6 linked regions of the Xenopus tropicalis genome follow. The protein of the gene in region 5 interacts with the protein of the main gene of each other region in a biochemical or structural test. Links are inferred from orthologs where the notes say so. Each region holds a gene or a part of one and is shown on either strand. Other genes may lie near its edges. The genes, in order: fgf4, fgf6, fgf8, ncam1, fgfr1 and anos1.

The links.
Region 1: the proteins of fgfr1 (region 5) and fgf4 form a complex in vitro, tested with the Homo sapiens proteins (2 studies listed by BioGRID and IntAct, with this or other methods). The link is inferred for Xenopus tropicalis from reciprocal best matches to the Homo sapiens genes FGFR1 and FGF4.
Region 2: the proteins of fgfr1 (region 5) and fgf6 interact in a biophysical measurement, tested with the Homo sapiens proteins (2 studies listed by BioGRID and IntAct, with this or other methods). The link is inferred for Xenopus tropicalis from reciprocal best matches to the Homo sapiens genes FGFR1 and FGF6.
Region 3: the proteins of fgfr1 (region 5) and fgf8 interact in a biophysical measurement, tested with the Homo sapiens proteins (2 studies listed by BioGRID and IntAct, with this or other methods). The link is inferred for Xenopus tropicalis from reciprocal best matches to the Homo sapiens genes FGFR1 and FGF8.
Region 4: the proteins of fgfr1 (region 5) and ncam1 form a complex in vitro, tested with the Homo sapiens proteins (2 studies listed by BioGRID and IntAct). The link is inferred for Xenopus tropicalis from reciprocal best matches to the Homo sapiens genes FGFR1 and NCAM1.
Region 6: the proteins of fgfr1 (region 5) and anos1 form a complex in vitro, tested with the Homo sapiens proteins (3 studies listed by BioGRID and IntAct, with this or other methods). The link is inferred for Xenopus tropicalis from reciprocal best matches to the Homo sapiens genes FGFR1 and ANOS1.

What each region holds. Positions count from the first base shown.
Region 1 is NC_030680.2:12,804,609-12,808,684, reverse strand, and holds the start of fgf4 (fibroblast growth factor 4 precursor), read right to left. Parts: upstream 2,801-4,076; coding exon 2,503-2,800; intron 1-2,502. UniProt on the Homo sapiens protein: Plays an important role in the regulation of embryonic development, cell proliferation, and cell differentiation. Required for normal limb and cardiac valve development during embryogenesis.
Region 2 is NC_030679.2:11,182,397-11,185,896, reverse strand, and holds part of fgf6 (fibroblast growth factor 6 precursor), read right to left. Parts: intron 3,042-3,500; coding exon 2,938-3,041; intron 1-2,937. UniProt on the Homo sapiens protein: Plays an important role in the regulation of cell proliferation, cell differentiation, angiogenesis and myogenesis, and is required for normal muscle regeneration.
Region 3 is NC_030683.2:31,011,694-31,014,974, forward strand, and holds the end of fgf8 (fibroblast growth factor 8 precursor), read right to left. Parts: intron 1,636-3,281; coding exon 1,357-1,635; 3' UTR 501-1,356; downstream 1-500. UniProt on the Homo sapiens protein: Plays an important role in the regulation of embryonic development, cell proliferation, cell differentiation and cell migration. Required for normal brain, eye, ear and limb development during embryogenesis.
Region 4 is NC_030683.2:86,597,093-86,600,592, forward strand, and holds part of ncam1 (neural cell adhesion molecule 1), read right to left. Parts: intron 687-3,500; coding exon 566-686; 3' UTR 1-565.
Region 5 is NC_030679.2:130,941,367-130,945,499, reverse strand, and holds the start of fgfr1 (fibroblast growth factor receptor 1 precursor), read right to left. Parts: upstream 2,801-4,133; 5' UTR 2,459-2,800; intron 1-2,458. UniProt on the Homo sapiens protein: Tyrosine-protein kinase that acts as a cell-surface receptor for fibroblast growth factors and plays an essential role in the regulation of embryonic development, cell proliferation, differentiation and migration.
Region 6 is NC_030678.2:36,380,915-36,384,414, reverse strand, and holds part of anos1 (anosmin-1 precursor), read right to left. Parts: coding exon 3,350-3,500; intron 1,561-3,349; coding exon 1,416-1,560; intron 1-1,415. UniProt on the Homo sapiens protein: Has a dual branch-promoting and guidance activity, which may play an important role in the patterning of mitral and tufted cell collaterals to the olfactory cortex. Chemoattractant for fetal olfactory epithelial cells.

The sequences.
Region 1 (4,076 bases), on a different chromosome or scaffold from region 5:
ATAATTGGCACTGTATTTATCCTGCTTTGGGTTCTGGGGTATTATATATGGAACTGGCACTGTATTTATCCTGCTGTGTGTTCTGGGGTATTAAACATGGAATTGGCACTGTATTTATCCTGCTGTGTGTTCTGGGGTATTATATATGGAATTGGCACTGTATTTATCCTACTGTGGGTTCTGGGGTATTATACATGGAATTAGCACTGTATTTATCCTGCTGTGTGTTCTGGGGTATTATACATGGAATTGGCACTGTATTTATCCTGCTGTGTGTTTTGGGGTATTATACATAGAATTGGCACTGTATTTATCCTACTGTGTGTTCTGGGGTATTATACATAGAATTGGCACTGTATTTATCCTACTGTGGGTTCTGGGGTATTATATATGGAATTGGCACTGTATTTATCCTGCCGTGTGTTCTGGGGTATTATACATGGAATTGGCACTGTATTTATCCTGCTGTGTGTTCTGGGGTATTATACATAGAATTGGCACTGTATTTATCCTGCTGCGGGTTCTGGGGTATTATACATGGAATTGGCACTGTATTTATCCTGCCGTGTGTTCTGGGGTATTATACATGGAATTGGCACTGTATTTATCCTGCTGTGTGTTCTGGGGTATTATACATAGAATTGGCACTGTATTTATCCTGCTGCGGGTTCTGGGGTATTATACATGGAACTGGCACTGTATTTATCCTGCTGTGTGTTCTGGGGTATTAAACATGGAATTGGCACTGTATTTATCCTGCCATGTGTTCTGGGGTATTATACATGGAATTGGCACTGTATTTATCCTGGCGTGTGTTCTGGGGTATTATACATGGAATTGGCACTGTATTTATCCTGCTGTGTGTTCTGGGGTATTATACATGGAATTGGCACTGTATTTATCCTGCTGTGGGTTCTGGGGTATTATACATGGAATTGGCACTGTATTTATCCTGCTGTGTGTTCTGGGGTATTATACATGGAATTGGCACTGTATTTATCCTGCTGTGTGTTCTGGGGTATTATACATGGAATTGGCACTGTATTTATCCTACTGTTTGTTCTGGGGTATTATACATGGAATTGGCACTGTATTTATCCTGCTGTGGGTTCTGGGGTATTATACATGGAATTGGCACTGTATTTATCCTGCTGTGTGATCTGGGGTATTATACATGGAATTGGCACTGTATTTATCCTACTGTGGGTTCTGGGGTATTATACATGGAATTGGCACTGTATTTATCCTGCTGTGTGATCTGGGGTATTATACATGGAATTGGCACTGTATTTATCCTGCTGTGTGTTCTGGGGTATTATACATGGAATTGGCACTGTATTTATCCTGCTGTGTGATCTGGGGTATTATACATGGAATTGGCACTGTATTTATCCTGCTGTGTGTTCTGGGGTATTATACATGGAATTGGCACTGTATTTATCCTGCTGTGGGTTCTGGGGTATTATACATGGAATTGGCACTGTATTTATCCTGCTGTGTGTTCTGGGGTATTATACATGGAATTGGCACTGTATTTATCCTGCTGTGTGTTCTGGGGTATTATACACTGAACTGGCCATGGGATACTATAAAGGAATCTATGTGGAAAATGTGCTTAAAAAGCCTCTCAAAACACAAAAATCACCTTACACCAATGCATATCTATAAAACATTTCAAAACCCCAACAGGATTATTAGCCACCAATGTGGATTTACACAGCTTAGTTACTATCAGGAACAAGTAAAACATAAGAAATTGCATTCCTGTATTTGGGATATTTCTGGAGAACAGGTTTATGGATAATATTTATGTTAAATTATTTCAGAGCTTGGACAAACTCATCCTAAATAGTGAAATTTAGGGTAAAAACCGTATAGGACATTTAATCTCTTTTTCTAGCAGTATAAATCCCAGGGTGTTAATCACTGCTCCTTAATCTGTCATTAGTTCCCGCCGAGTTATCCAAATGAATATCGTAGCCCTGAAATCCCTCTCTTTAAAATAGAAGCATTATTGTACAGACAAGAAAGGACTGCAGCTTCCCTGACACTAATCCAGCAGCGGCGACACATGCCCTTGGCTTGCCAAGCATAACTGGCTCCCCACGACGGGTCGCTTCCCTGTCACAACTTTATTTTCCACATTAAACGCAGCTTGATTTGTTTTTTTTTTACAGATGAATTTCGGGCGTCAGAAGAAGATCACTCACTCGGGCAACAATGGGCAGCAGAGAAAAGGTTAAAAAATATGCCGGTTATTAATGAAAGGACACGCCAAGGCAGCCACGTGTGAAATTACATATACTATTCGGCTAAGATTTCCGAGCTATAGATTGATCATTCCATGAAAATGAATGGCATATTAAAATGAGCGGCTCGTTAGGAAATTGCCGGGGTAAGCTGACCTTCCTGTTGCAGGCAATGTCACTATTTCTCCATTAATATGACCTATGTTTGAGCAAAATAATGTAACAGGGGGAAAGAAAAAAAATCAATACTTACTGTATCGATTTTCATTGTGCATGCCATTTATCCTTCCGTCCGGTAAAACCTGGATATGAAACCCGATGCCCACGTTGCAGTAGAGACGTCGCAGCCTCTTGATGCCCAGCAAATAGTCACTTTCCCGGCTCATATCCCTTTTTTCCCCTGGGATCCTAGCCATGGACCTGGAAAAGAGGGTCTCCCATCGCCGTTCCAGGGTGTCATTCCTCAGGGAAGAAGAGAGCGGCAAGCCCTGCACCACAACGGCAGCCATTCCCAGCAGCAGGATTGGCACCAGGGCCGATGGAACAGTCATCCTGATCAACGTGGGCACACGTGGTTTAAGGAGTCAATTGCTCTAAAAATACCTCCAACTCCAACTCCACTTATACTTAGATCAAAGTAAGCAACTGCTTAGCTCCCAAAGGAGGTGTGGTTTGCTCTCTTAGCTTGCATGGAGACTTCTCTAAAAGGGGCTTGACTCAAGGAAAGTTTATTCGAACTTGATCTCAACTTGTCGTTAACTTGCCGTGGACTTGTCTGAAGTGTTGATCTTCCCCAACAGCTCAGCCATAGCACTTTACCCCTGTCCACGATATTTATATCCATCTGCTTCCTACCTATTACATCACCAGCTCCTGCTCATCTCCAAGCTGTCAGCCCAGACACCACACTGTGTACACCGAAAGAATGAAGAGGAGTGTTTGGGGATCACTATTGCACGACCCTCGCACAAATGCCAGGCTTTTCAGCCGGCTACAGATAGCCCTCCTTGCAGGTTGCCCCCCTCCATGCACACCCTGCACGCTTTGCCCTGCACAGATTCACTTTATAAAAAGAAACACTATCCTCTGAGATATTTATCTAGAGAAATAAACGTTTCTCAAACAGCAAAGTGAAACTAAGAAGGAGAACTGTCCAAAAGTTTTTATCCAAGAAAATATGTGCAGTTGTTTTGAAAACTGTAGTCAGTATTGCATCTTAAATGAATAGAAACTAATTAAATGACTACTTTGTTTTGTAATATATATATATAACTAAAATGCACAATGGGGCTGTTATGAAAGGGTTACATTGGAAGACCTCGGGAAACTCGTTCAGGAAGGAGAAACTTTCCAAAAAGTGTGTTTTAACAACAACAACAACAATATCAGGTTATTGTTAAGCTGCAAACCTCAGACTGAATCCACAAGTAGCCACTTCCACAGAGAGCTGGAACGAGCGTGCCTGCCCTGGGGATAGCTACTGGCCTGTGTATAGGTGTGAAAACCTGGGGGCTGCCCCCAGCCTTAGCAAACACAGCATTCAGATTTCTAGCTGTGCAATCCACAATGCCCGGTGCTGCAGCCCCTGCTTTTTACTGCTTTGATACTTCTTCCTCCACTTTTTATTCCCCCCACCCCAAACTCCTCTCCCAGTTTTATAATATGTCCTACACCTATTTACCTTGTGCCACGCCAGTTACTCTTAAAAGAGATCTAAGGTAATTGTGAAATACCTTCTAAAAACAGGTGGGATATTTTGGTTTTTGGCCAGTAAAATACTCCTCTCTCATATTTATGTATTCATTTCTTGACCAGCATTTTTACAGA
Region 2 (3,500 bases), about 120 Mb from region 5:
GACTTTGCATTGACCAGGTTGGAATTAAACCCAAGACCCCAGCAATGTTATCCAATAGCTCAATAAATGGAAAAACAAACTGGGTTCCATGCACATATATGGGCTAAGTTGTACCTGATTGTCAAGCTACTTAAAAGAAAATATCAACAAATCACATAATACAGATTCAAACCTGATGCCCTGATTTGTCTAATGCAACAGTATCCAACAAAAATAATATACATAGACTTATAGGAGGTAATATAAGTCTACTTGTATCTATAATAAAGTCTGGGATGCTTTAAAGAACTAAGGAGTCAGTTTTAATGTAGGTTTACCTCTGCTTTTATTGGAATATGAAACATTTCCATTGCATGTCCCAGCTCTCTTCAACGTAGGTGGAACACTTGTAGTTTACACATAAAAAAGGGTTTTACCATAATAATCCTAAAATAATGCATTTCAGATTTAAATCTAATAGGGATATTGATATACATTTTTACTCTCCTATATTAAATGAACAGCAGGATACTGTACAGATTGCCCATTAGAGATCAAGCAAGTTGATTCCTTAACATGTTGGGATGTATATTTATTGCACTCTTAAATACATCTGGATGTGGATTCACAGATTACTGGCCTGTTCAGGGATTGGATTATGAACTCTGTTTATACTTCAAAGCTGGCCATACATGTATTGATCTTTCTTTACTTAATGGACAATTTCAGTGTGAGCCGACAAAACCATTCTGAAATTATTATTATTACTATTATTATTATTAGTAGTAGTAGTAGTATTAGTAGTACAGGTATTGGACCCCTTATCCAGAAAGCTCCGAATTACGGAATGCCTGTCTCCCATAGACTCCATTTTAATCAAATAATTCAGAATTTTAAAACTGATTTCCTTTTTCTATGTAGAAATAAAACAGTACCTTGTAATTGATCCCAACTAAGATAGAAATAATCCTTATTGGATGCAAAACATTCCTATTGGGTTTAATTAATGTTTTATTGATTTTTTAGTAGACTTAAGGTGTGGAGATCCAAATTACGGAAAGATCCCTTATCCGGAATGCCCTTGGTCCCATGCATTCTGGATAATGGGTCCTATACCTGTAGTAGTAGTAATAATAATAATAGTAATAATAATAATTTTTTGTCTTTTACAGAACATATTTGTCCATTGTCCAATAGTTTGCAGGCCCAAGCAGGCATTTTTCCTACTTTCAACTAGACAATATGGGGCTGATTTACTAACCCACGAATCCGACCCGAATTGGAAAAGTTCCGACTTGAAAACGAACATTTTGCGACTTTTTCGTATGTTTTGCGATTTTTTCGGCGTCTTTACGAATTTTTCGTTACCAATACGATTTTTGCGTAAAAACGCGAGTTTTTCGTAGCCATTACGAAAGTTGCGTAAAATCGCCCGATTTTTCCGTAGCGTTAAAACTTACGCGAAAAGTTGCGCCTTTTTCGTAGCGTTAAAACTTAAAAGGTGCGAGGTTTCGCGTAAGTTTTAACGCTACGAAAAAAGCGCAACTTTTTGCGCAAGTTTTAACGCTACGAAAAATCGCCAGATTTTACGCAACTTTCGTAATGGCTACGAAAAACTTGCGTTTTTACGCAAAAATCGTATTGGTAACGAAAAATTCGTAAAGACGCAGAAAAAATCGCAAAAAATACGAAAAAAATCGCAAAATACCGATCATTACGAAAAAAACGCAATCGGACTCATTTCGACCCGTTCGTGGGTTAGTAAATGTGCCCCTATGTCTTGAAATGGTCTTTTCGTTGATGGACAAATTGTATTTTTAAATGATCGTTTCAAGAAAAGCTTGATCCTACAATAAGATCTTTTAAAAATCTACACATGTGTGGCCAGCTTAAGGCCCAGACAGAACCATAAGTGACCACTTCTCTCTAAAGAGAGACTACCTGGACAAACCAAATCTACCTGTAAAACACACTCACTATAAAGATCTATGCATACCTTATTGTACAGTGCTGCGGAATATGTTGGCGCTTTATAAATAAATGTTAATAATAATAATAATACCAACATAGCAGTTAGGGATAGCATGGTTAGGGATAGCCCCTGTAACAATGGGAAGGCAGCTTATGGTGGGATGACTGTATTGGGACATCAGTATCAAACACCAGACTATACTTTGTAAATATAAAATATATTCTATTACTATATTATCTTTTCAGTTTAACTCGTGGTGAGCTAATAATTAAAAGCACCCTAAGCTGCAATGTCTGTCTACCCATTGTTTGAGTGTATGACTTGGGCATAAGGATCTCTCTAACCATGTTGCCAGGTCTAACTATTTTATTTTTGGTTGCATGACATACCTAAATGTTCATGGACATTCTGAGTTTTATCCCAGTATAAGCCAACACATTAACAGGGGATAGAAATCAATTCTACATGGGGTAAAGGGTAAGCAAACCTTCCCTCAAACGTATTAGACTTATAATTCCAGATGCAAAAGGATCATCCCTATGAGCTAGAGCTACTGTATGTTTGTCATATTGACGTTACCCAATATTTATGCTACTTTGGCTTGCCGATATTACACTGTAATCAGACTCCAGGAGGGCAGATCAAGTGCTGTTTAGGTGTTTAATGCCCAGTGACGATCATATCAAATTTATCTAAAACCTTGTTGGAGTAGGAGGGAGTGGAAAGAGAAGGATAAAAACAAATGGCATACATTTCTGTAGAGCTACTAGAATTATGGAATAATGTTATCAAAGGGTATCAAAGTAGAAAATGCTTACTGAGAAAATATCAATATTTAATGTATTAATGTATCATTAATACAATATAATTAATTTTGTTGTTAAAACTCTTGTTTGAACCCTGTCAAATAAATAAATCTAATGAAATGCCCGGCCCCAGCAAAAAACGGTTCTCGCCTTTACAGGTAAAGGGGTTTATTTACTTACCGAAGCATACATTCTCCCCTTGCTGTTCATAGCCACAAACAGGTCACTTTTCACACCAAACAAGCTAATAATCCCTCGATCTACAGTTGAAATTTCTAACAGACCTAAGCAAATGAAAAAGCTTAATGTTATTTATGTTATTGGCATATTTACATCAAAATATACATACAGAAATGACTACAAACCAATGAAAAATACAAGGGACAATATACTTTCCTGCAAGACCATAGTTTGCATATTCTACAGGTATGGGATCCCTTATCCGGAAACCCATTATCCAGAAAGCTCCGAATTATGGAAAGCCCGTCTCCCATAGACTCCATTTTAATCAAATAATTCACAGTTTTAAGATTGATTTCCTTTTTCTCTGTAATAATAAAACAGTACCTGTACTTGATCCCAACTAAGATATAATTACCCCTTATTGGGGGCAGAACAGCCCTATTGGGTTTATTTCATGGTTAAATGATTCCCTTTTCTCTGTAATAATAAAACAGTACCTGTACTTGATCCCAACTAAGATATAATTACCCCTTATTGGGGGCAGAACAGCCCTATTGGGT
Region 3 (3,281 bases), on a different chromosome or scaffold from region 5:
TGGTCAAACTTTGCACCACTAAAGTAACTCATAGGAACCAATCAGATGCTTTCATATTATGACATCTAACTGCAAAGTGACTGCTCCTTGGTTACTATTGGTTGTTACACTATTGGTTGTTAGACTATAGAGAATTTTGTCCATGTTTTTATAGAACAGTATCTCTCTTACTTTGAGATTAATCATCAATATACCCATATAGCTAAACTTATTTGAGTTCAAACTATCTATATATCTATCTATCTATCTAATCTATATCTTCTCTTTCTCTAGCTACCTGTATACACACACACACACACACACATATATATATATATATATATATATATATATATATATATATATATTCCAAAGAAAATGAAGCTTACCAAATTCTACAATGTGCAACCATAATTAGCAGTTATCACTATGGCCCCCTCTTAAGAAGGCCTAGACCTGTTTTAGGGGGATTTTGTACTCCTATCGTCAAGGAAAGGACAAAAAGGAAACAAACACCTTCATAATACTAGTACAAATTTTAATACACATTTAAATAAATATTTCCATCATTAATATTAATATGTACACATATCCTTGAAAAAAAGGACAAAGGTCTTGCCAGACAACTGACATTTGTACAGTGTTTTTTTTAAAAATAATAACAATATTATTACTGTTCATCACTATTTCTTACAACTGTTTCCTACCACTGGGATGCATTTCATTTCATCGTCATGCAGTTGCACGTCTTGAGGTCTTTTTTTTTTTATGTCAAAGATGATTTGTCCTTGTTGGCAGAAAAAAAACAACAACATAATATTCTTGCTCATCACGGAAACCTGTTTCAACCAGGTCATTCTACGTTTCCATTAAGGAAACTGAATCGATGAAAAAGCAGCTCTTAAAAATAATCAAAAGCATTTATAATAAAAACCCCAACTCTTCCGCAAAAGGAGTTTAGAGAATTGAACAAATAAAAAAGAACCCTGCTCGAGGTTCTTCTTCCGTTTTCCAGTACCGGTTCCTTATTTATCTTTTGGTTAAGTGTTTTTGTCTGTAAGTAGCACTTTTGGTCCCAGGTCCGCCTTCACCTACAACATTTGTTTGCTAGTTATTAAAAAAAAACAACTAAAATCTATATGAAGAGCACATTTTTTTGTAAGTCCGTACATTTCATCCGCTTTTCTTTAAAAAAAAAAAAAAAAAAGTTCATAGGAATAAAAAAATAGATCATCTTTTGTAAAAACAAAAAAATATATATATGTATATTTATATATATAAAACAGCCAGTTCATGATTTCTTTTTTATTCTTATTTTATATTAGAATAGAGTAGTCTGTTTGCTGAAGTCTATGGAACGTAGTGAGAAACCGTGTCCTACCGAGAACTTGAGTATCGAGTTCTTTTACTCCTTCTATTAAAAGGGTAATTAATAAACTCAAAACGTTTATGAGGTTCTGTGGTGTGGTGTCCCTTCGGCAACCTCTTCATGAAGTGGACTTCCCTTTGATGTTGCCTTGTCTTGGAGCCTTTCCTAGGGCGGCCTCTTCTCGTGAAAGCCATGTACCAGCCTTCGTACTTGACATTTTGCAGAGCTGTGTAGTTGTTCTCAAGGACAATTTCCGAGAAGACGCAGTCTTTGCCCCTCCCACTAGTCTGCAAGACAAGAAGAAAATAAGGTTACTACTACATTATAAAATGAGCAATACAATTACACATTGATCCTATCCGAAAGCAGTTTAGTATTGGCAGCCATGGCCGTGACATTTGGAGAAAAATCTAGACAGCTACTGTTGGGTATTTATTGGTTCATAAATGTTTGAAACATCATCTGGTAAGGAAGATAAAGCTCTAACTAAACCTGATTAGCTGATGGGTTATTTTAAGGCAGTAGCAGTGCTATGACCAAATGCCAAGCAGGTGAAGTGAAGAAGTAGAGATGCCAACACCAACACGGGCATTCTGAATAACAGAAATATTTATATCTACCACAATAAACTAGCCATAAGCATTTATAGTAGCACTAGGGAGATCGGGTTCCTTGTTGAAGTTAATAAAAGTAGAAATGACCCATATGCTAAATCCGATTTCATTGACTCCTTAGTAAATAAATGCAGCAGAACACTGATTAGGACTCTCACATCAGGACTTTCACATAGCATTTTGCCAGTATTTGTGTCTCCTTTAATGATCACAATTATTATTATGTTTTATTTGTTGAGTTCCGACTCATTGCAAATGAGACGCTGATTCCCTACTTACCTATAGACCTGCACAATAGGCTTACAGAACAAATAGAGCCAAGCTTAACTGCCAAAGTAAGCAGCCTTAAAATTAACAAAGGCATGCTCTATTACACAAGCGGCCAAGTATTAGGTGTTAAGTTGTAGTTTATTTGGCCATAATAGCATTCTCTCATTGCTGCCCCCTAGAGTAATCTGTGAGAATACCAGTAGATTGCAAGCTCTTATTTATTTCTGTGACGTGAGTTCTGTTTCTATTACTTTTGTCCCTGAGTTGTTATCAGTATATAAATGATCTTGCACAGTAACAACTGTTTTTTTTTTAAATAGATTATTTTTAATTATTAAAGAGTCAGTCATTCTATGATGCTGTATTGTCCCTTTTACGGTGCACGTTTTCTTTGGCTTGGGACACTTTTACCACTAAATGCTCCCTTGCTGCATTAGCTATCTGACCGCTTTATAGTCAACACATGAGATGTAAAAGTACAATATGCCTGCCACACCTGCAGCATTAGCTCATGATTGGACCGCAGGGAAAATGATATTGGATGGTAAAAAAAAACCAAGAGATGAAAATGTAATTGAAAAGGAGGGTTCTTTGGCTGTGGAATCTGTAATTGCTGGCGGATGAAAGTGGGTAAAGGCAAAATGAATTCTAAAGCAGGTATGTGCAGGTGTCTGGTGGCCTCACAATATGCCTGGATCCCCTCGCCCTACAAGGAGTGAAATTCTTATTGAAGCAGACAACTTTGGAACTAATAAAGGCTTGAAAGTGAAGTTTAAAAGGGAAGTTTCTGGGTGTTAAATCGTAGGCATGACTAATATGAAGATTTCAGGGCTTAGCGATGGGGCAGCCTGAACTCTGTGTCTTAACATTCCAAATACTTGTACCATGTAATTGAACATAATAGCAAGGCAATTCGCCTATTTGTTAAAAAAAAAGATATATGGAATTCGAAACACCCCCTTTTTCCCTTTCAGCTTTTCTTCTTTTTGATTCTTTTATCTGCTCTTTGTTACTCTTTTTCCTTTCCCACCTCTTGTCTGCCTTTTGAT
Region 4 (3,500 bases), on a different chromosome or scaffold from region 5:
TGGAGCCTCTGCTCTTAAACAGGTACATTTACAAGTAGAGAAATGTATTGCAGGCTAGTCATATACCCCATCACCCAAACTTTCAGGACAAATACAACAATTAATAACTTTTTTTTCCTCTTCAGTTTATTTACCTACTAAGTGAATGCACTTGAAGATGATGGTTTAAATACAAACTCTTCTTCTGTGTATTTAGCGTATGGTCTAACACAGGTTCAGTGTAATGTTTTTGACCTGGCTTCTTGATGGTAAATATTTGCTAAAGAATGCAGTGGTGCATAGTTGCCGTTCTGATGGCGCTGCATGGGGCTTTATTGATCTAACTTACCCCTTTCTTTTTAAAAAAATGCATTAGCACAATAGATGAACCCTTTCTACAATCTCACAAAAACAAAATGGTTTTCATAAAAAAATAAAATAATAACAACAAAGGCCAAGATTGAGAGGAATGATGAAGTGTGTGTGCCTCATTCTTTAAATGGCTAGCATGAGGCTCTTCAGACATAATTTTTAGTATCCACTGACCATTCCCCAATAACGCCCACCCCCAAACTCTAAGGACAAATCATGCTTTGCTCTCATTCACATTTGTTTGAGTGGCTTCATTGGGGACTGTTTTGACTTCTGCTGGGGTGCTCTTGACATCTGTTTCCTCTGGCTTAGAATTTTCTTCTACTTGGGTCTTCCTATAAGCAAACAAGAGAAAGAGAAGGTAAGAACAAATATGAGAGTAGATCAATAACACATGGGCTTACTGAATGCTACAGTCTTGTGCAATGATGCACCTACACAGTACAAAGGGGCAGCTTATATAAACACAAAAATACCCATCTGCTACCCCACTGAAAGTGGCACTAAGAATACTGCTCTAAGGCCCTCATTCCACAATACTATAGTGTATGTTCTTCATGTAGAAGGGACCAGAAATACACAATGCACTTCTGTACTATATACTATATATATATGGTTCATATGTTAAACAAAAGATGAAAAGATTCCATCTTTTTTTCCAAGACTCAATTTTATAATTCAGCATATCAGTGCCACATTTAATGTGGGAAATAATTCCAAATTGTTTTCTATTGTGTTTGTCAAGTAAAATAACCTTCACTTACACTATAAAATTTATTTTAATCTTATTATCTTTAGCCTTGGAATTCACAATTGCAGCAAGAAGACAGTCGCCATTTTGTGGACACTGTTATTAAGGCAAGCTTTGTATCTTGCCAAAATCTTGTTTCTGTGCCAGTATGGGGGGGGTCTGATACCCATGTCCATGCACTGGTTACAAAATTAGATGGTGAGGAGGGAGGGGGAATATGAGGAGAGCAGCAACATCTAAGAAGTTCTGAATTCAAAGTGAAAGTAACTGTCTGCGCCACCTCTATGCCTTAGGCATAGAGGCGGGTCAGGCAATATATGATTGACAGCTGGGATTTTTAAATGCTTTTATAATGGGTATGGATGTGTTAATAAAAAATATTAGTTTGGTTTCATGTTTAATTTGAAAAGGACTTTTATTATACAGCTTTTTATGCCTGGGTGACAGGTCCACTTTAATGCTTAATAGTCATATGTTCTAGATATTAAACGTCTGTGACACAGAAATGGGCTGCTAATTCTTGTATGAGTCAGTTAAGCTGAGATACAGATCTGATTACCAACATCAACATCTATTAACACTGTTTATAGTGCAGATTACTGCATGTTAAAGGGTACATAAACCTTCCACAGCAGTATTGCTCCTCTAGGCTATATCTCCCTGTATTCTTCAGCTTGTTATCAAGTTACCATATAATTTGAGCTGTACTTCATCAGCAAAAGAGGCACATTAAAACATTTTGCACATTCTCTAGGACCAGTGTCCCATTTGATACAAATGAATCCTCTAATAAATATTCTGTCTAGCTCATTCACATTGGACTGCCCTAGCTGGCTCCATACAATTATTGCAGAAGGATGCTCTATATTTGCCATTTGACGTGTGATTAATGCAATAACTGAAATCAGAGTAATCTAAATATTTTAGATGATGATGCTCACTGGAGAGGAATGGGGCACAAAAGGGTCAGTTTTACATTCTCTTTAAATACACTTTTGGAGCAGTTCCAGTTTATGATCTGAGGATATCAGGCTTGCCAAAATAATATCATATGCCATATACTGACAAGAATTTGCTGTAAATCCTTCTTTTCTGACTTCTTTCTAAATAACATTTCATATTAGAGACTTCCTGAGTGACATGTAAAAGGGAGCCTGGTGAAGTGAAATACAGATCCAGACAAGTTTTTGCTAAGTACGCTTTTAATAACTTTAACATAAGTGAATGATGTGCCTAGTACAGGTATGGGATCTGTTTTCTTGAAACCCATTATCCAGAAAGTTCTGAATTTTGGGAAGGCTATCTCCCATAAACTCCATTTTAGTTAATTCAATTTTTTAGAAATTATTTTCTTTTTCTCTGTAATAATAAAACAGTACCTTGTACTTGATCCCAACTAAGATATAATTAATCCTTATTGGAGGTTAAACAATCCTCCTGGGTATAATTAATATTTTAATTATTTTTTACTATGGCATGCTTTTTTAATATCGTATAGGGATACAAATTACAGAAAGATCCCCTTCCCGGAAAACTCCAGGTGCCAAGCATTCAATGAATAACTGGTTCCATACCTGTCCTCCATTATAAGCCCTGAACTAACAATTCCTAACATCCTCCTAAGAGCCTTAGGCCACCAGGGATGCTTATTGATTTTAGCTCAGTAGCTACAGGGTAATATAAAAGAGTATTTGGAGGAAAAGATTCTCAGAAGTGTAGTCTTAATATTAACATAATGGGATATTTAACCCTGCCAACGATGTAGGTGCTATATCACGCTATGGGGAATTATCTTTAACCAATAACGCCATGTTTGCAAAGTGCTCTTAAACAGAATGTTTTAGCATCAAGAGGAAAGGGGATCTATCACGAAAACAAAATCTAAAATAAGTTTCATTGCATAGAAATAAGAAAGTATCTCAATTTACGTAAATTTAAAGATTATGTGCCATGTCAAAATAATCAAGATATTCATTAGTATCCCCCCCCCCAAGAAATCTCTTATGCTAAAATATAGGCTTGTGTTGGAGTTGTTTTTTTAATGCACAGTTATCTCTAATACATCACTGGTAGGTGCTTCCTTTGCCTAGATAATGTATTACACATGTGTTTCTAAATAACTGACTCAGAACTAGAGCTCCATAAAGAGATACAGATTGCTGAGAGGGGAATATGGCGGAGCAACCTGAAGGTTTCAGAAATGGTACAAAATGTTTAACTGATTATAATGTTTTAAGGTTTCATATTTACATGGGATCAGACGTATATTATGTTACTGTAAACACACAAAGATAAATAAACTAGAACAACATAAGTAGATGAAATATAATATGCACTGTAGTTCATGTTTTTAATACTGCTTCATACATGCTTTATACTGTCAGGAAATTCACTTAAA
Region 5 (4,133 bases):
GGATCTGTATGGGGAACTAAGTGGGATGAGACAATGCACTTAGAAGCCTGGGTCAGATTCCTATGTCCGATCCTGATGACCCCGGCCAAGGCTATTTGTTTTCCTGTGCCGAAGCATCCAAAAATGACAGCACATCCTAAAAAACAGGGCAAATAAAGGCAACCTGCGGCGCTTCAGCTCCACTCCAGTACAGACACTGCTGTTATTTGTAGTTTTTGTACTTGGGAGTCACGATCCTTGATATTAACTGTCAGTATTCAGGGAGTCTAGAAGTACTCACTGTGACACGAACGAGATCAGCAGGGCAATAAGTAGGTTCTATATCTTTTAACATTAATATGATAGGATACCAACATGGAGGTATTACTGCCTCAAAGCAATGGGGTACTGGGTTCACAACCTACCAAGACTATCCACGGTGAGTCAATTCTCTCCCTGTGCTCCAGTTTTTTTCCGGGATCTAAAACCATACTAACATTGAAACTCCCTGTACCCCGCTCTAGAAACCTATCCTCATGTTTCTTCAGCCCTGCAGCAAACACTTGTACTTTTAGTATGTTCCTTACTCTCCCCTACAGCAAGCAAGTGAGGGCGTCTGCACCCTACAGCGAGCAAGTGAGGGCGTCTGCACCCTACAGCGAGCAAGTGAGGGCGTCTGCACCCTACAGCGAGCAAGTGAGGGCGTCTGCACCCTACAGCGAGCAAGTGAGGGCGTCTGCACCCTACAGCGAGCAAGTGAGGGCGCCTGCACCCTACAGCGAGCAAGTGAGGGCGCCTGCACCCTACAGCGAGCAAGTGAGGGCGCCTGCACCCTACAGCGAGCAAGTGAGGGCGCCTGCACCCTACAGCGAGCAAGTGAGGGCGTCTGCACCCTACAAGCAAACAAGTGAGGGCATCTGCACCCTTCAGTGAGCAAGTGAGGGCATCTGCACCCTTCAGTGAGCAAGTGAGGGCATCTGGACAGAACCAAAGCAAAGCCACAAGCTTGGCATCTACTCTGAACTTTCTGCCCCCCTTTCTGGGCTACATTTCCTAAACTCAGTAGGCAAACAAAAAATATTTGCACAGATTATCAGTGCAGGAAGGGCAACCTCCTATCTTAATTTGACTATAATTATCCAAAGCCATATTTGGCCAGCCATACATTAAACAAACAAGAAGCACATTTACAAAGGAAATAAAAAGAAAACCATTCAGTTTAATGGTCCTGGAAACAAATAACCTCATTGTTCCACATTGTCCTGTGTGCCAGGCTGAATATGCCAACCGGAGAAGGCAGGTCAGAGGACTCAGTGGCATCATAGGATGACACATTACACATGACTTAAGGTGGCCATACACACACTGATTTTATCATACGAAATGAAGTACGATAATCTGTGTGTGTGTATTGCGGTCAAGGCAACCGATATCCATAAAAGCGTTGGATATTGGTCGCCTCGTCGATCGGACAGGATAGAAAATTTTGACCGTGCGTCTTTGAACATTGTAACATTAACGCTGAACCGTCAGATAAGAGTAAAGAATTCCTTTGTTTTCACCTGCTTATCTGACAATTCAGCTCTTAATGTCAGTAGACAAACAATCTTTCCTATGGCCAATGGTCGTGGGAAAGATGGTAACTGTAGTGTGTATGGCCACCTTTACAAGTCAGTGGATAAAGAGCAGAAGGGGGTGTCAATGACTTAAACACTCAACACGGATCCTGGAAACAAACTCAACTTGTTTTGGAGAATTCTAAAACCTTAAAACCACTTCTGGGGGAGACTCTAATCCAAAAAGACGTAAACTGTCCACCAACATTTTACCTGCAACTACCCAGATGTTGTTGTACTACAACTCCCAGCATACACTGACAGCTGAAGCCGTTCAATTACACAGAAATTCCTGGTTTATTATATGTTGCACTGACACAGCGAGCAAAAGCACTCGCTCACACAACACCCCTTTAGCGGCACTCATGGAACGGTGCTTGTTAAATGTATACCTCCAAAACAAAGTACAGCGTGGCCACTGGCCATCCCAGATAAATAACGGTGGCCATATTTAAATACCCCTTTGGCCTCAACCCTGATTTGGCAATGGAAAGGGGGTCCTTTAACTATCAAAATATCTATCTTACTGTAATGGGGGGGTCACGTCAATAGGTTTGAAATGGCTATAATTACATTATAAAGAAAAATTTACCCTGGAAATCCAAGTTTTTGGGTCATCAGTTTCATAAAGTGCAATACAAGTATAGATTGCAAGCTCTAAAGAGCAAAGGCCCTTTAAATTGTATTAATGTGTATGATTAATGTATACAACATTATGTTGTACCGCGCTACGGAATATGTTGGCACTTAATAAAATTAATAAGAATACTAATTAGAAACTAATAAGAACATATACCCCCCCCCCGAGCTGCTAAACAGGCAACGGCAATTAGGAAAAGGGCATAAAATTTGCTTTTTTTTACCTGTTCCCAAATGTTTTTCCAATTTCTTCTTATCTCCACTCGTCCAACGTATATTCCTTATATTAGTAGGAAAAATAAAATTAAAAAAATAACTAAAATAATAAAAAAGTTGGGGGGGGGGGGTGATCTTTAAATTAAAAAAAAAATTGTCTTCAGTAACTTTAGTGAATTAAAATTTCTCCCAGGAATCCACTGTTTGTAGAGAAAAGAGCTAAAATAAAAAAAGAAAAACTTTAAAAAATAAAGTCTTTTTAGTTAAAAGCAGCAGTAATTTGAAGCATGTGTCCCTCTGGGAAGGAAAGAGAGAAATGTGCAGCTTTGAAGACACCTTGAGAGAATTCCAGCAAGAGGGAAAAGTTGTGGGATCGCACAATTCCAGCAGTCGCAGCGCAGGATTCACATCCCACATGAAAAGTTGCTTTCCCAGTGCAACTGAGAGCAGGAATGGAGGAACCGGCCAATTTCTATCAAATAGTATCAGAAAAAAGAAAATGTGCAGGAAGGATGAGCAGCGAGCACGGCAAGTCTCCGGGATTCCTTGGGCACGGAGAAGTGAGTCAGTTCTTATTGAGACTTAACAATACACTCCGCTTCCCATCCCCCCATGCAAGAATTTGCAGCCCCTCCCTAGCAGAGCTTCATTTGCACAAGCCCCGCCCACCCGCTCGGATTTCTCCCGGTGCACCCTGGGGCTTGTAGTCTTTTATATCCTAAACTACTGCTGCTACTGTGGCTGAATCTGGGCATCTGCAACCAGAGGAAGTCAATGAGATGTAATGGGCAGCGCTAGGGCTTATGTTAATTCTCTGTTTGCCCCCCCCCCCTTCCCTGTACATGTGAATAGGAGGGCAGTTATTTGTGTTTAGACAGCAGACAGATGCACAGATGGGGGAGGCATGCAACAAAATAGCAGCAGGGCTGGGTTTTTAGTTGTGGATGCTTACAGCTGTAGTGCAACTATAACTCCACTCTAGTAAATGTGTATGCCAGCTGCGGAAGGGCAGAGAAGTGTAGAGGGCCCTTAATGATATATAAATATATATAGATAGAGAGAGAGAGAGAGATCCAAATTACAGAAAGACCCCTTATCCAGGTCTCGAGCATTCTGCTAAAGGGTCCTTATATATTTACTCTACCAAGTAAATGTGTATGCCAGCTGCGGAAGGGCAGAGAAGTGTAGAGGGCCCTTAATGATATATAAATATAGATAGAGAGAGAGATCCAAATTACAGAAAGACCCCTTATCCAGGTCTCGAGCATTCTGATAAAGGGTCCTTATATATTTACTCTACCAAGTAAATGTGTATGCAAGCTGCGGAATTGCAGAGAAGTGTAGAGGGCCTTTAATTATATATATAGATAGATAGAGAGAGAGATCCAAATTACAGAAAGACCCCTTATCCTTGGTCTCGAGCATTCTGCTAAAGGGTCCTTATATATTTACTCTACCAAGTAAATGTGTATGCCAGCTGCGGAATTGCAGAGAAGTGTAGAGGGCCCTTAATTATATATATAGATAGATAGAGAGAGAGATCCAAAATACAGAAAGACCCCTTATCCTTGGTCTCGAGCATTCTGCTAAAGGGTCCTTATATATTTACTCTACCAAGTAAATGTGTATGCCAGCTGCGGAAGGGCAGAGAAGTGTAGAGGGCCCTTAATTATATATATAGAT
Region 6 (3,500 bases), on a different chromosome or scaffold from region 5:
AATTTCTGCACCAGTGGCCTTTGCTGAACAGTTTAGAACACTTAATATTTGTATATGGAGTTTAACAATCTTTTCTTAAAAGATAAGGAAAAGCCTGAGACACTGAAGGTTGGTGCCAGTTGGCGGTGCCAGGCCTAGCAGTGGGGGAAAGCATGCGGGTACATGGCAGGGGACAGGTACTAGTGTTGAGGGGGCAGTGAGGGATAAGGGCCCAGAGTAGGGGGAAGGCAGGCAGCAGACATATATGCCTGGAACCCCATCGTTGCCATGCCTCTTCTGCCTACCCCTAGTTCTGGCCCTGCCAGTTTGTTGGGCACCCCCCAGTGTCTCTACTTGCTTGCCTCCTAACCCAGGCCAACACTCCTCCTCCTCTTTTATAGCCCTCCAGCTAGGGTGTTATTGTGCAGAGTAGGCTGCTGCCATCTTCCCCCATGTACCACTTATGTTGCCACCTTTCTGCAGTTTAAAAATTCCAGTCACTCTGAGAGGGGCAGGCCCTTGGGCAGAACAATCCCATAAAGGAAGGGGCAATGATGCAAAGGGGGATGGAGGCAACTTGGGGGCTGTATAGCAGACATTTATGGAGCATGGAGTATATGCCTGAGCTGGAAGAAGGTTTTGGGGGCCACTACATTTGTAACACTGACCAGCTAGGCTGGTGAAATACTTGCCAGGTGACAGCCCTATGTTCCTCCTTAAGACACAGCATAACATTCTATACTGTGCCAATAAGATGCAGGGCATGACAGAGAAGTTGAAGGAAGATTGTGGGAGCCCTTACTGCAGAACAGCAACTGCCCCAGTGACTCAGACTTGCCTTGTCCTTTAAGAAAACATTGTTAAGTGCTATATACATATATTACAATTAACAAGTGTTTTAAACCCAGTAGGTAGTGGTTTAGTTGTCTGCAGGGTGGGTAGTAGGTATCTTGCCCCTGTTTTTCAGTCAGCCTGCTCTACCAAAATAAAGCCCAGGCTGCTGCACTTTTGAGAAGGCCTGAGGAGCTGTGCTGGCCTAAGGTAAGAGGTAAGTCATTAGGGCTATATAAGCATATAAGCTCTCTTGTCCGTTTATATGGATAAAACACTTAAACAGATAGAAAATAGATAGAAATGTGATTATTTAACAAGTTTTGGACACCTTAAGAGTAAGCAAATTTGCCTAGGTCTAGTATCCCACAACAACCAATTAGATGTCTAAAAACCAATACATGCTACCTGTTGATTGGTCATTATGGGTTACTAGACCATTAGCAAGTTAGCACCTTTTATACAATTACTTCCATTGGGTCTACTGAGATATGCAGTGCAAAGAAACAAATCAATAAGGCATCAGGTACACTAATGCAAATAAATATTTATCCCTCGTCATTAAAATCAGATATGATCCATGATGCCAGATTATCAGTACTTACAGCTTGTGCTTGGGGGGCTGGTGGAAAAGTAGAGTGAGACCTTGCCACTTTTCAGGCGCACTTGTCCCCAATAGGTGATGGCTTGCAGCTCAACCATGTAGTTGCTATTTGCTTGGAGACCGTCCAAAGCCACAGAGTTCTGAGACTACAATCAGCCACAAAAATAAAGATACAGTGAGAAAAGAATGTTTCAGTTCAAAGAGACGCAGAAATCCAGTGACTGCACTGCTAGGCTTGCTTTAAGGCAAGCACTAATGAACAAAAGCATAAAGTGAGCCTACTCCTCTCCCTGTTTGTATTACTTGGAACTTGTGCGGAAGAATCAGTGGATATCATTTCCTCTTTGATGTTGCCTTTGACTAATGATGGCATCATAATATATTTAATGAGGGGTAACAACTGTCATAAACAAATTCTAGGACAGCGGAACTGAAGGTGGCTGTACTTGCTATGTAAACTGATTTTCTTTAAAAAAAAAAAAAAAAAAAAATCACAAGACGGATGCAGCAGACATCAAAAGAAGTACGGCAGGGATGACACATTTCTTTAGTAATTACTGAAAGTCTGTTTTGTTTTTTTAAGGTAAGCTTTCCCTTTAGTCCCAATTGTCCCGATCTTTACAATGCGTGGATTTAGGGATTTCCATCGCTATTCTTTTGATTTTCTAAAGCCTATTAGTGTATAACAAATGTAGTAGCAAAGAGTTCACCTTCTTGTGGCATTACATCACTATGACTAACTAAAATGTGCACCCACACATATAAGGGAATGTATTAAGCCACTCGTCTGCCTCTAGAAGAAAAAAATTCTATGGTAAGCACGTAATAAAACTTCCCACTAGAGAATTCATTACTCCAGATCCAAGCCGATCTTTAAAAAAGCACATAGCACATAGCTACCATGTACAGAGGGTCAGGAAGTAACCTGACCAACAAAATCCCACACATACACATATACTACCTTCATGGATTGGATTTTTACTACTATTATTATCATTTACACTGTAATTATAAATATTTATTCGTATATTTAATCAATTATGTTGAAGAAGACTGTGCTCTCCAAGGCTTTATTATACAGGTATAGGATCCCTTATCTGGAAACCCGTTATCCAGAAGTTCCAAATTACAGAAAAGCCATCTCCCATAGACTCCATTATAAGCAAATAATTCTAATTTTTAAAAATGATTTCCTTTTTCTGTGTAATAATAAAACAGTACCTTGTACTTGATCCCAACTAAGATATAATTAATCCTTATTGGAGGCAAAACAATCCTATTGGGTTTAAATGATGTTTTAGTAGACTTAGGGTATGGAGATTCAAATTACGTAAAGATCCCTTATCCGGAAAGCCCCAGGTCCAGAGCATTCTGTATAACGGGTCCCATACCTGTACTCTATAGCCAGCATTTAATGGTTACTTAATGTTAAAGGGCACCTATCACCTAAAAATTGTGTGGGCTCTGTTAGTCTGAACCTCTGTCAGAGGAAACTATTTTTAGGTGATAGGTGCCCATTAAGGTCCTTCTTCTATTTTAGGATTTATTATGAAATTGAAATAAATGTGAAGTATATTTGTCACCTTTGTGCTATGGTTCTGTGTTAAAGGGCTATGGGAGGTATATACTGTATGTCTAAATGACAACACTCAATAGAAAGTCACCTATAGTGACACCAGCCATGAATGATATTATAGCTACATTGTATTTATAGTATAAAATCCACCAGAAAGGAGACTGATTCTATAGACTTCATTCTATGGCACCATAATTTAAATATAATCTGGCCCTTGAACGCTTGGTATGGGATTAATCGGCTCACAACTTGTAATAAATTGGACATCACTGTGTTAAAAGATATGAAGTGAGCCTCTACATGGAGCAAAGCAGACTTATTTCATATTATTCATCTCACAAACACCCATTTTCCTTTACCCCTTCTGTTGTCTTTCTCCTTTTCTTTTTAGCTGGGACGACAGATTTCCTGTTAGCTGTCCAACTCCAGAAGACTTTATAATGGTGCACAGGGATATCCGGCTCCTCTGGGAGATCCCATGTGATCCTAACGGACACAGTCCCCTCATTG